Linked DNA regions of Xenopus tropicalis. The protein of the gene in region 1 binds, or shares a complex with, the protein of each later gene. Links are inferred from orthologs where the notes say so. Each region holds a gene or a part of one and is shown in the gene's direction. Other genes may lie near its edges. The genes, in order: akap17a, ppp1r8 and c9orf78.

What was found.
Region 2: akap17a (region 1) and ppp1r8 share a complex: the UniProt entries of both Homo sapiens proteins name them as parts of the spliceosome. The link is inferred for Xenopus tropicalis from reciprocal best matches to the Homo sapiens genes AKAP17A and PPP1R8.
Region 3: akap17a (region 1) and c9orf78 share a complex: the UniProt entries of both Homo sapiens proteins name them as parts of the spliceosome. The link is inferred for Xenopus tropicalis from reciprocal best matches to the Homo sapiens genes AKAP17A and C9orf78.

The regions. Positions count from the first base shown.
Region 1 is NC_030678.2:38,922,152-38,925,909, forward strand, and holds the start of akap17a (A-kinase anchor protein 17A), read left to right. Parts: upstream 1-1,547; 5' UTR 1,548-1,665; intron 1,666-3,436; 5' UTR 3,437-3,449; coding exon 3,450-3,758. UniProt on the Homo sapiens protein: Splice factor regulating alternative splice site selection for certain mRNA precursors. Mediates regulation of pre-mRNA splicing in a PKA-dependent manner.
Region 2 is NC_030678.2:79,515,116-79,518,773, reverse strand, and holds part of ppp1r8 (nuclear inhibitor of protein phosphatase 1), read left to right. Parts: intron 1-788; exon of another isoform or gene 789-947; intron 948-2,843; coding exon 2,844-2,997; intron 2,998-3,658. UniProt on the Homo sapiens protein: Inhibitor subunit of the major nuclear protein phosphatase-1 (PP-1). It has RNA-binding activity but does not cleave RNA and may target PP-1 to RNA-associated substrates. May also be involved in pre-mRNA splicing.
Region 3 is NC_030684.2:22,434,039-22,437,796, reverse strand, and holds the start of c9orf78 (uncharacterized protein C9orf78 homolog), read left to right. Parts: upstream 1-858; 5' UTR 859-869; coding exon 870-955; intron 956-3,758. Other genes in the region: usp20 (ubiquitin carboxyl-terminal hydrolase 20), read right to left, coding at 677-799. UniProt on the Homo sapiens protein: Plays a role in pre-mRNA splicing by promoting usage of the upstream 3'-splice site at alternative NAGNAG splice sites; these are sites featuring alternative acceptor motifs separated by only a few nucleotides. May also modulate exon inclusion events.

The DNA.
Region 1 (3,758 bases):
TCCCCACAGCAGCTAAGCAAGTTGTATCAGTCAAAATAGGATGGTGAGTTTCGCATCTAGATCCAACAGCAAATGTATTTCAACAAGAGATAAAGTCCTTTAAAAACATAAGCTTTATCTTGTTAGATGCAGACTAAGCATGCAGTGTTCCATTTGGATGGCAAATACTCCATGTAGTTTGCACATCACATTTTTCTATCATTCTGATTAGTTTGACCCATGCATCTACATCCAACTTGTACCATTCTACAAAATCTCCCATGTAGTTTAGCCCTAAGGCAAACCAACATCTATGCAAGTTGAACCCGAGTGCCACCCCTTCTCTCTTCTTCTAAAATCACACATTCCCTGCTGCCTCTGTCCCTACACACTCATTGGATAAATGGAAAAACCCTTATTTTGTAGGCAATTATGAATAATATATGGTGCTGGTTTCACTTTGGGCTAAAATTAAATACAGTCTGTAAAAATGGCCCCTTTATTGGAGCTCCCTATAGATCCTATCAGTTCTCTGTCCGAGTTTGAAATGAAGAGTGGGCGTGTCCTAACGGTCCCTGCCAGAAGCACAGTAGGAGGGGGATAGCCAATCACAGCCCTGCACTCACACAAGCAAAGACAGGCTTCAGTTCCCTATCAGGTCAGCCTAGCTGCTGATTGGTCCCTTTACTACAGTATCTGTACTGAGAGCCTGTGGCTCCCCTGCACATCCAGAGAATTCACCCAGCAGGAAGTGGGACAGATGGCCCATACTAGTGGGGTTTAGGTGGAATTTCTCAATAAATCAGTTCAAGCACAACTTTTTAAGCACAACCTTTCTATATTTAGAGGAGTATAATTCACTGGCACATTTTTTTTTTATGGCAGAGGCTCCTGCCTTTCTGTTTCAGCCAAGGATAAAACAAAAGAGCCTAAAACCTTGTTAACTTTTCGTTGTATTCTGCTAAATTAGCCCTTTTGTCCCTAATCTGTGAAACATCTGCCTCATTTGCACAAAAAGCTCAGAAAAATAGATTACTTCATTTCACTTTGCCTTAATTTGAACATGAATTACTATTTTTTGGGAGCAGAGGCACCAGTGGTAGTGGGTATTGCTGGCAAGCAGCAAAGAAATGGGTCTCATTTTGTTTGGGAACTCCCTGCCAATGTTCTTTTGGGTTCCAGAACTTTCTTAGGGAAGGAACCTGCACAATTCCAAGTTTATAAAAGTATAAAGGAAGAGTAAAATACAACTTCCGTTTTACCCTTGTTCTGACCATGTAGTGTGAAAAATATGCTCCCCCACCCTGAGGAGGAGGTTTTTTTGTTCCTGGCACAGGTGTAATTTCTAAAATGTGTAAGGAGGAGAGAAAGTGAAGAAAGCAATGAATGGCCAAATATTGGGAGCTGAAGCCCACTCTAATTCAGGAAATGCGGGCAGTGGGACCTGCTGCAGCCCCCACAGACATGATTGCGTGACACCTTGCACGACAGAGCCTCACGGCGGAAGGATTTAGCGTCACTGCGCTGCTCTGCGTGGCTCCGTGACATCATAGTCTCGCGAGATGAGCGGCGGAACGTTGGAGTTGGCTGTACGGCAGGATCTAGAGAGTAGGGCGCTAATGGCGTTTCGGGACGTTTAAGCAGCCGTCTGGGACTCCGGGTTGTGTTACGGAAAGCGGGAGAGCGGTATGCACCTGCCCTGTACTACCTCTCCTTGGGATTCATGCGCGTAGGGAAAACAACAATACGGGATGTCACACGCAAAGCCTTCCGCTTGCTGGTTTGTTTGAGGGGAACTGAACCTCAACAATGAATTAGACTAGGAATGCTACAGTTCATTTTGTTTTGTGTACCTGCTAGAAAGACTTTATGCCTCTGAAAATGCTCCCCATATTTTGCTGCTGGTCAGATACCCGAGTTTAGTGACAATGCACAATACAGTGCAGGTATTATATCCAAATTCACAGTATATGGCAGCACATTCAGGTATTATATCCAAATTCACAGTATATGGCAGCACATTCAGGTGTTATATCCAAATTCGCAGTATATGGCAGCACATTCAGGTATTATATCCAAGATCACAGTATATGGCAGCACATTCAGGTATTATATCCAAATTCACAGTATATGGCAGCACATTCAGCTATTATATCCAAATTCACAGTATATGGCAGCACATTCAGGTATTATATCCCATATCACAGTATATGGCAGCACATTCAGGTATTATATCCAAATTCACAGTATATGGCAGCACATTCAGGTATTATATCCCATTCACAGTATATGGCAGCACATTCAGGTATTATATCCAAATTCACAGTATATGGCAGCACATTCAGGTATTACCGTATATCCAAATTCACAGTATATGGCAGCACATTCAGGTATTATATCCAAGATCACAGTATATGGCAGCACATTCAGGTATTATATCCAAATTCACAGTATATGGCAACACATTCAGGTATTATATCCAAATTCACAGTATATGGCAGCACATTCAGGTATTATATCCCAGATCACAGTATATGGCAGCGCAGAAATCAGTGCAGCAGAATTGGCGTTAGCCCTGTAGCATCAGCCTCTGTAACAGATGTGAACTTATTTTCTGTAATGTTTTTATGAATTGAGTTGAACCCTAAGCTTAGCTTCTCTGCAGTACCCCAGAGCACACTGAGCATGTGCAATGTCACTGACACTCAAAAGATGGCCTAACTAGATTTCATGATATGGAGCTGCTTTGAACACTGAAGGCCTGAAACATTACTGTTACAGCTGTGAGAAAGTTCTTGGCCCATACAGCAAATTCTTAATACAGAGTACAGCATTTCTAGACAGATTCTTATTTAGGGTTCAGTTCTCTTTCAAAATCTAATGAGATGGCTGTGCAGCTACGCTGCATCTTGTCTGGGAAATTGACTTGCTAAAAATATGATGCCATGTTTGCCATTGCTCAAATATCCTGTAGACCATGTTATAATTATTCAGTGTTGCATTTTGCCTTCTGATATGTAAAACTACCAACCTAGCAATTGAGTTTGGTAGGGTAACCGTTTAATTACTCATTTCTCTGGTACCTTTTCTAAAAATCAATCACAGTGACAGTATGAACCCTTTGCTGAGATGCAGAGAGAGCAATAATCATAAGTGTGAATGTACATAATTACCTTCATCTGTGAATGTAAGTGGGGCATAGTTGAGTCAAGGGTGTCACAGTCAGTCTCACTTGCTGGTATGGATGCAGCCATTTGTAGCAGCTGTATGCAGTACACACAGTATTTGAGGTCTGTTTTATTTACAAATGGGATGCTTGTTAATATATTAGGAATATGTGCTGTGTAATTTGGTACATATAAATTATTTCACTTGCTTGTCTTTTGATTTTAAAGGCAACATTTTAATAAAAGAAGTTGCAGATATTACCTAACATTTCTACTTTATATATTAACAGCCCCTTCAAGATTATGGCTGCAGCTACGATAGTGCATGATACATCGGAAGCTGTAGAGCTGTGTGGCTCTTGTGGGCTTTACTTGAAGCCTATCACAAAGATGATTATCAGCGTGGCACTACCGCAGCTGAAGCAACCTGGAAAGTCCATATCTAACTGGGAAGTAATGGAACGTCTGAAAGGCATGGTGAACAACCATCAATTTTCCACCTTACGCATTTCAAAAAGCACCATGGACTTCATCAGATTTGAAGGGGAAGTAGAGAACAAAAGTTTAGTAAAGACTTTTCTAGCAGCTCTTGATGGGAAGAGTATAAAGCTA
Region 2 (3,658 bases), about 41 Mb from region 1:
GGTCAAAAACAAAAATATAATTGAAAGAGTGCCGCACACACAGGGGCTTGATACAAAAGAAAAAAAAGTGTTTTTATTGAAAAAATTCCAACGTTTCGACCAGTGCTGCTCCTCAGGGACAGACCAAATGCCCACACCCACAGTAAATACCCCCACCACATAAAATGGTACCAAAAAACAGCCACAGTAACCATGGCAACCAGTGTACACAAACCCCCACACCCACCAGAGCAGGATAAATTCAAATATTAACATACACAGGCAAATGAAATGGGAGTGCAGTGCTAGAAAACAAGGTTAAGTTTAAAATTATGTAGCTAGTAAGCAACAGATATGTTGTTAGTTATATAAAAATGTCAATTATATAAAGTTAATTCTGTCACCTTTACCTTTTCCACCAGTTCTTTTTGCGTCAACAGTAATTGATTGCAAAGTCTTATCTGTCAGAAGGGAAGTATGGTGTTCATGTACACCTACTTGCAATAACTATTAACAGTTGCAGCTGCAGTATGTTCATTGTGGCCACAATGCTGTGCATCTCAGCTTCATTACATACTTCCTTTGAAAAGGTATAAGTTATACAGTAAAATATAATCCTGAGACTAAGGAACAGGTGTATTAGGCTCTACAACAATTAAGTGAATTTATAGTACAGGTACCAGAAGATCTTATTATATATAAATGGTCAATAAAATGGCAAGCATTACGAAAAGGTTAATTCCTGTGGTATATAAGAAGCTTTATACAAATAAGGTGCAACTGATTAACATGTTGAGTCTCCTTTAAAAGTGCACTTGATACGAGCCAGGATACCCACGCTTGTCTGTTCTTTCAGATGAGTGTATGCCATGGTATCTGGGTTTCCATGAGTGCCACATTAACCCAACCTTAAGCATTTAAGCTCAGAGTGCAGAGAGACACCTTGAGTTATAACTTATGGTACAGATCCAAGGGATACACTGGGTGTGCACTGTGACTATGCGTTTTGTGTGAATGTGTTAGATATGATCATGGTTAAGTTACATAAGTAATGATGTGTTTTTGACTTGCCACAGTTTCTAATTTGAAATATGGACATTTTCTTTAAAGCATTTTTAGTATGACATTGCTTTTTTAAATTATATATTTGTTGTTGTTAATCAGGCTACTCCTATATCTGGGAGCTTCTGTGCTTAAAAGTAATCTTGGTAAAAGCAAGCAAAAATCTGCATTCCTCCTGCCAATTCTAGCACTAGATGTCACTGTTTTACTAGATTATACATGAGGTGGAATTTGTTGCTCTGACTTAGAACATAATTGCAAATTATGCTCATAATTTGCTCAGAAAACCACATAATCATAGGTTATTTTGTTCTTCTATAGAAAATTAATGTCATCCTTCCTTTCACTTGCCCATTATATAGGTCACTCAAACAACAAGAAAACCTATTGTAACTTAAGCGTAAAGCACCAACCCAGCCTCTTGAACGGCCAGATTTATTTCCTTTTAAACTCCTTACTTGTTCATGTGGAGTCTTTGAAGACACTCATTTGTATGTAGGTGACAGGCATTTTTTGACAGTCACAAGAAGTGTGCTTTTTGTAGGCATGCAAATGATTTGGTCTTTTGCAACTTTGCATGCACAAAGTCTGAGTCGGAGTGACCGATAAAAGAAGTGACTTATTACTAGAGTTAGGAATCGGGACAACTATTGAGGCAAGGGTGGCATTCATAGATAGTAAAGAATCACGTACAAATATTAATTGAGATGGATAATGCTTACATTTTCCTACAGGTGATTGCAAAAAAAAGTACAGGTATGGGATCTGTTATCTGGAAACCTGTCATCCAGCAAGCTCCAAATTACAGGAAGGCCATCTCCTATAGACTCAATTTGAATCAAATAATTCATATTATTATAAAGGATTTCTTTCTTTCTTTGAAATAATAACAGTACCTTATACTTGATATCAGATAAGATATAGTTAATCCTTATTGAAGGCAAACAATCCTATTGGTTTTTTTTTAATGTTAAAATGATTTTTTAGTAGACAGAAAGACGTTACTTGGAAAACCCCAGCTCCCAAGCATTCTGGATAAGTCCCATACCTGTACTTTAATAGTACTTACTATAGAATATTGAATATGCAGCCCCACTGAAATGACCAAACACACCAGCAACAACTGTGTTTCTTTTGAACTTGAATTGCACCCCTAATAGCAGATGGAGAGATTTGTCACCTGCGGTTAGATCTGGGCTACCGCCGATGTCATCTTCCCAACACGCTTTCCTGTTGGCAATAAAGTAAATGCCATATTTAACCACTGGCGACAAATCTCCCCATTAGCTTTTAGCCTAAGGGCACATGGGTCAAACACAAGGACCGCAGGCTGAATACGGCCCTTCTGGCTGTTTTATTTGGCCCCTGGTGACTGTGCCTGATCGTGCAGCACCAATCGCCTGACTGCAATCTGACTGTGCCTGACCGTACAGTATATTAATAAAAAAATTTGGCCAGCGATTTAGCCTGGGTTTTAGATTTCAGCCCCCTTATGTGATTGAGTTTTACAATTTATGCAAGACTAATTTGGCACAGATATAAGAGGGAAGTTAGGCAACACCTCACTTCTGCATATGATGGCATTGGTAGAAACTTTTTTTTTAGTTTAGACAAACCAGCTGTGATTTAGTGATCAATTCCAAGTGTTATACACTCCCAGTGTAGTTAACAGTCGCATCTTTGCTTTCATTTTCTAACTTTGTATTAAATTGATAAAATAATTATTTTTGCTTAGTATTCGTATAAGATATGTTTGTTTTTTTGGAATTCTTATCTAAGAAACTGCTTTCATCATCTTACAGAAACTAATTATTGATGAAAAGAAATACTACCTATTTGGTAGGAACCCAGATATTTGTGACTTTACAATTGATCATCAGTCATGCTCCAGAGTTCATTCAGCCCTGGTGTACCACAAGCATCTGAAGAGGGTCTTTCTGATAGACCTCAACAGCAGTAAGTATAATCTATACTTTTGCAACAATGCATCACTTCCCAGGTCAAGAGTTTCACTCAATGTAACACACGGGCACAATACTACAGGTGTCCTTTAATGTATACCTTAAGGGCAGTGGCACATGGAGATTAGTCACCCGCAATAAATCTTGACTACCGCAGGGGACTAATCTCCCCTGTATGCCATTCCACTGGCAAGAATGTAAATTGTCTGTGGGATGGCATATGCATCGCTTTGGTTTCCCAAAGTCGCCCAAAGTTATGTTGCAAGGCAACTTCCAAAAGGGATGCGTATGCCATCCCACCAGCAAGTTATATTCTTGCCAGTGTAAATGGCATATCGGGGAGATTAGTCGCCAGCGATAGTAAAGATTTATCGCGAGCTATTAATCTCCCCATGTGCCACTGCCCAAAAGGTATGCTTTAGACTTGTTAGATTGAAAAAATAATTATGTGGCAGTACTTTAACATTATGGTCATGCTATATGCTTTCCTTAATGTATATAGAATATTAGCTTGTATTTACGTTGCTGTGTCCTATTTTCATCCATCAAAAAGCAATAATCCTAGTAGTAATAGTGTAGCTATATTTAAGACATATATATGCATATAAGACAGACTGTTTGTGACTGCGGTCCTAGTTCTGGACCATTAAAATGCA
Region 3 (3,758 bases), on another chromosome or scaffold:
TCCCTTTTGGGACCTTTAAAAAGGTATATATATATATATATATATATATATATATATACAGTCCAGAGTGGGAGGCACACCATAAAATGAGAGTAAACCTAGGTGCCAGAGCTATAAAATCTGTAGATAGGTAAAGAATGTCGGCACTCTTAGGATTTCCACAATAAGGCAAAAAAGTAAAGTTTTTTTTCAAATGCAAGCGGTGAGATTTATTGTTTCCAACGTTTCAGTCCTTTACTAGGACTTTCGTCAGGGAGTGCAGGAAGGCAAAGACATTGCACTCCCTGACGAAAGTCCTAGTAAAGGACTGAAACGTTGGAAACAATAAATCTCACCGCTTGCATTTGAAAAAAAACTTTACTTTTTTGCCTTATTGTGGAAATCCTAAGAGTGCCGACATTCTTTACCTATATATATATATTTATATTGAGAGAGAGATACAAGTTGCTAGTAAGCTGCACACCATGAGAAGAAATAATACCTGGGGGTGCCAGAGAAGGTGTGTGTGTGTGTGTGTGTGTGTGTATATACATACACACACACACGCAAGGTTAATATGATGCACTGCCCCCAGGCCCCTGCCGCTACACTAAGCTAAACCCCTGCCTGTACAGACATTAATCCTCTAGTAGTTATGGAGCTTGTACATGGATACGGGGTGCAGGAGCAAACCTACCTCCCTATGCCATGCCAGCCTGATGCCAGATACCTCTGTTACCGCAGCTGTTGACTGCTGATTCCTAACTCCGCCCCACACTGCCAAGGCAAGGGCGGAGATCCGGAAGCTTCTCACTGGCATTATTACATCATTAGACCGCGCCGGAAGTTTACATATTCCGTAGTGTCCGGGTTCAGCAGCGGGGAGAAAGATGCCTGGGGGAAGAAACTTTCGGAGGCGTAAAGCCTCGTCGTCAGATGAAGAAGCGGAGGCTGAAGAAGTAACTCAGGAGGTTAGGTAGGTTCTCGTTATATTTCTGCGACTCAACAGTGAGGATACTCGAAGTTGTATTCGTGTGAAACGTTACCTCAGGCCTTTTTTTTATTCCAAGAACGCGTTACTATGGATACCAATTAGCCATAAACACATTGTTGGGAGGGCAGACTTGGGGGTCTGCTTTTTCTATAGGTGTAACTAACTAACCCCCTTCCCCATCACTGTTCTACCTGAGCGTTAGTGGGCAGAGATAGGGGAAGTGAGCAGTGTCGGGCTGGGACCCAGGGGCCCACCAGAAAACATTAGACCCTCGGCTCACTCTCCAAATTATTTTTTTCTCAACCAACCTCTGCTAGTCTCTTTTATTTACATGCCAATATCTATTCTTCCATCTATTTCTCTTCTTTGTTTTCATTCAGCAATAGGGTATGACCGTGAAGTAGGCCAAATGGTAGGAGCAGGAGGGCTCACTGACACCTGTGCCCACCAGGAGTTTCCTGGTAGGCCAGTCCGACACTGGAAGGGAGGGGCAGGGTGTTGGTTTGTGAGGGGAGGGTGGGTAATGCCCTCTGGGGGGCCCTGCGTGGTCTGGTAAGTCAATACAGGGTACAAGAATGTGTTTACTTAACAAGCACATGTGGGCCGAGGAATGCGCGCACACACACACACACACACACACCATATGTAGATTCAGCACTCCTAAGCGTGGTCAAAAGACCCATGTGCTACCAATTAAGCATTAAAAATAAAAAATCTAGTGAATATTGGTGCACACCGGGAATCATTTAAAAAAGTAGCCTTTATTGTAGTAAAAAAAAAAAAAAATAAAAAATATATATATATATATATATATATATTTTATTATATATTATTCTCTTATTAATACCCTGTTTGTATTAATGTATTCTACTGTACAGCACTGCGTACATAAGTAGCGCTTTATAAATAAAGATATATATATATATATATATATATATACATATACATATACATATACATATACATATATATATATATATACATATACATATACATATACATATACATATATATATATATAGAAACAACAACAAGAGATCCTCTGCACTCACCCATTATCAATATATAGGACATTAAGACATTCAGTGCATTTAAGCTACTAAGAAATGCCCTTCCCTTTAAGCAAAACAGGGATTGTTTGTCCATATATTGCAATATACTTCAAGCTGGCCAACTGGGTCAAAGTCATCCCTTTTGACCAGTTCCTACACTGACTTATGCGATTCATTAAGAATTCTACTGCTTCAATATACATTTAGCCAAGGGACTAAGTTTTACCTGCAACTTTCTTGCTTTCAAGGTTAAAATCCCCATATGGTTGCCCTTTTATTGGCTCCACTGGGATCACCTGACTGCAGCTGGGAAGGGTGGGAGCTACAACAAGGAGCTGGCCACTGCTCCTGTATAAGCTATAGTAAAAAAAGGGAAAGTTGTTCTCAACCACTAAATTTTAAACCATTAAAATATATATATACACACACATACAGTCATGGCCCAAATTGTTGGCACCCCAGAAATTTTTCCATAAAATCAAGTATTTCTCACAGAAAAGTATTGCAGTAACACATGTTTTGCTTTACACATGTTTTGCTTTACACATGTTTATTTCCTTTGTGTGTATTGGAACAGAACTAAAAAAAAAGGGAGGAAAAAAGCAAATTGGACATAATGTCACACAAAACTCCAAAAATGGGCTGGACAAAATTATTGGCACCGTTGTGGATAAATAAGTTTGTTCCAAACATGTGATGCTCCTTTAGGCTAATGCCACACGAGGTGTAGGGCGGATATTTTCGGCAAGCTTAAAATCGATTGCTGAAAATTCCGCCCTACGCCTCCTACATGTGCCTGCACCCGAATGAATGAGATACGCTCTGGTGCAGGCACATGTAGCCGATATACGCATGAAAAAGCGAGACTTTGCATTATCTCGCGACATTTAAATGAAATGAAGCGCTATGGCAGGAGACCCAGGAGGACCCCACTGCTGACAGTGCCGCCATCAGAAATTACAGGGCCCCTCACAACAAAATTTTCTGGGCCCCCCTCTTCCCACGCCCCCAATGGCCCCTCACCCAGTGACCCCTCCCATCAGTTTCCAAGCAGCCTATGCAATAAAATGTCTCTTTAACAAATGGCACACACTACACAGAATATAAATGAGTTTTATATTTGTTAAATCACATTTATTACTATTATTATTAATTAATACAGTATTGTTATTAATACAGTACAGAAATGCTTTCTCCCCCCCCCCCTCTGCTGTGTTCGAAACAACCAGCCACACCTAGCGATTAATTACTGACGCCCTGGAGGCTCCGTACGCTGTAAGAGTAACTGAGTGTAGTTAACAGACCGAGAAACTATATGAGGAGCAAGTGGTTGACATACTGGGTGTGGGCTATGATACAACTTTGGTTAACAATTCTTAGATTGCCGAGCGAGAACTTATTGATATGCTAGTTGAGTATAATCACGGCCTTAATTCTGTCCCTTGAAGTGTAAGTAGGTTGTGTTACAATTGCGGGCTAAGTTAAACATACACTCTATATTAGCGGTGCATTGTGATTGCAAAATACGGGACGTAAAGTGAATATATTTCTGCAGAGATCTGTGGTGGGGATGCGGCTTCTGTGATTTGTCGTATAGAGGGCAGATGTACTTACATCGAGTTCGGGGTATACGAAATTAACTCTAATTTCACTGCTATATAATTTGCTTTATTGCCTGGTGACTGGCTCTATTGAGGTCAGACGAACTTGCATTCCTGTTGGGTATGGGATAT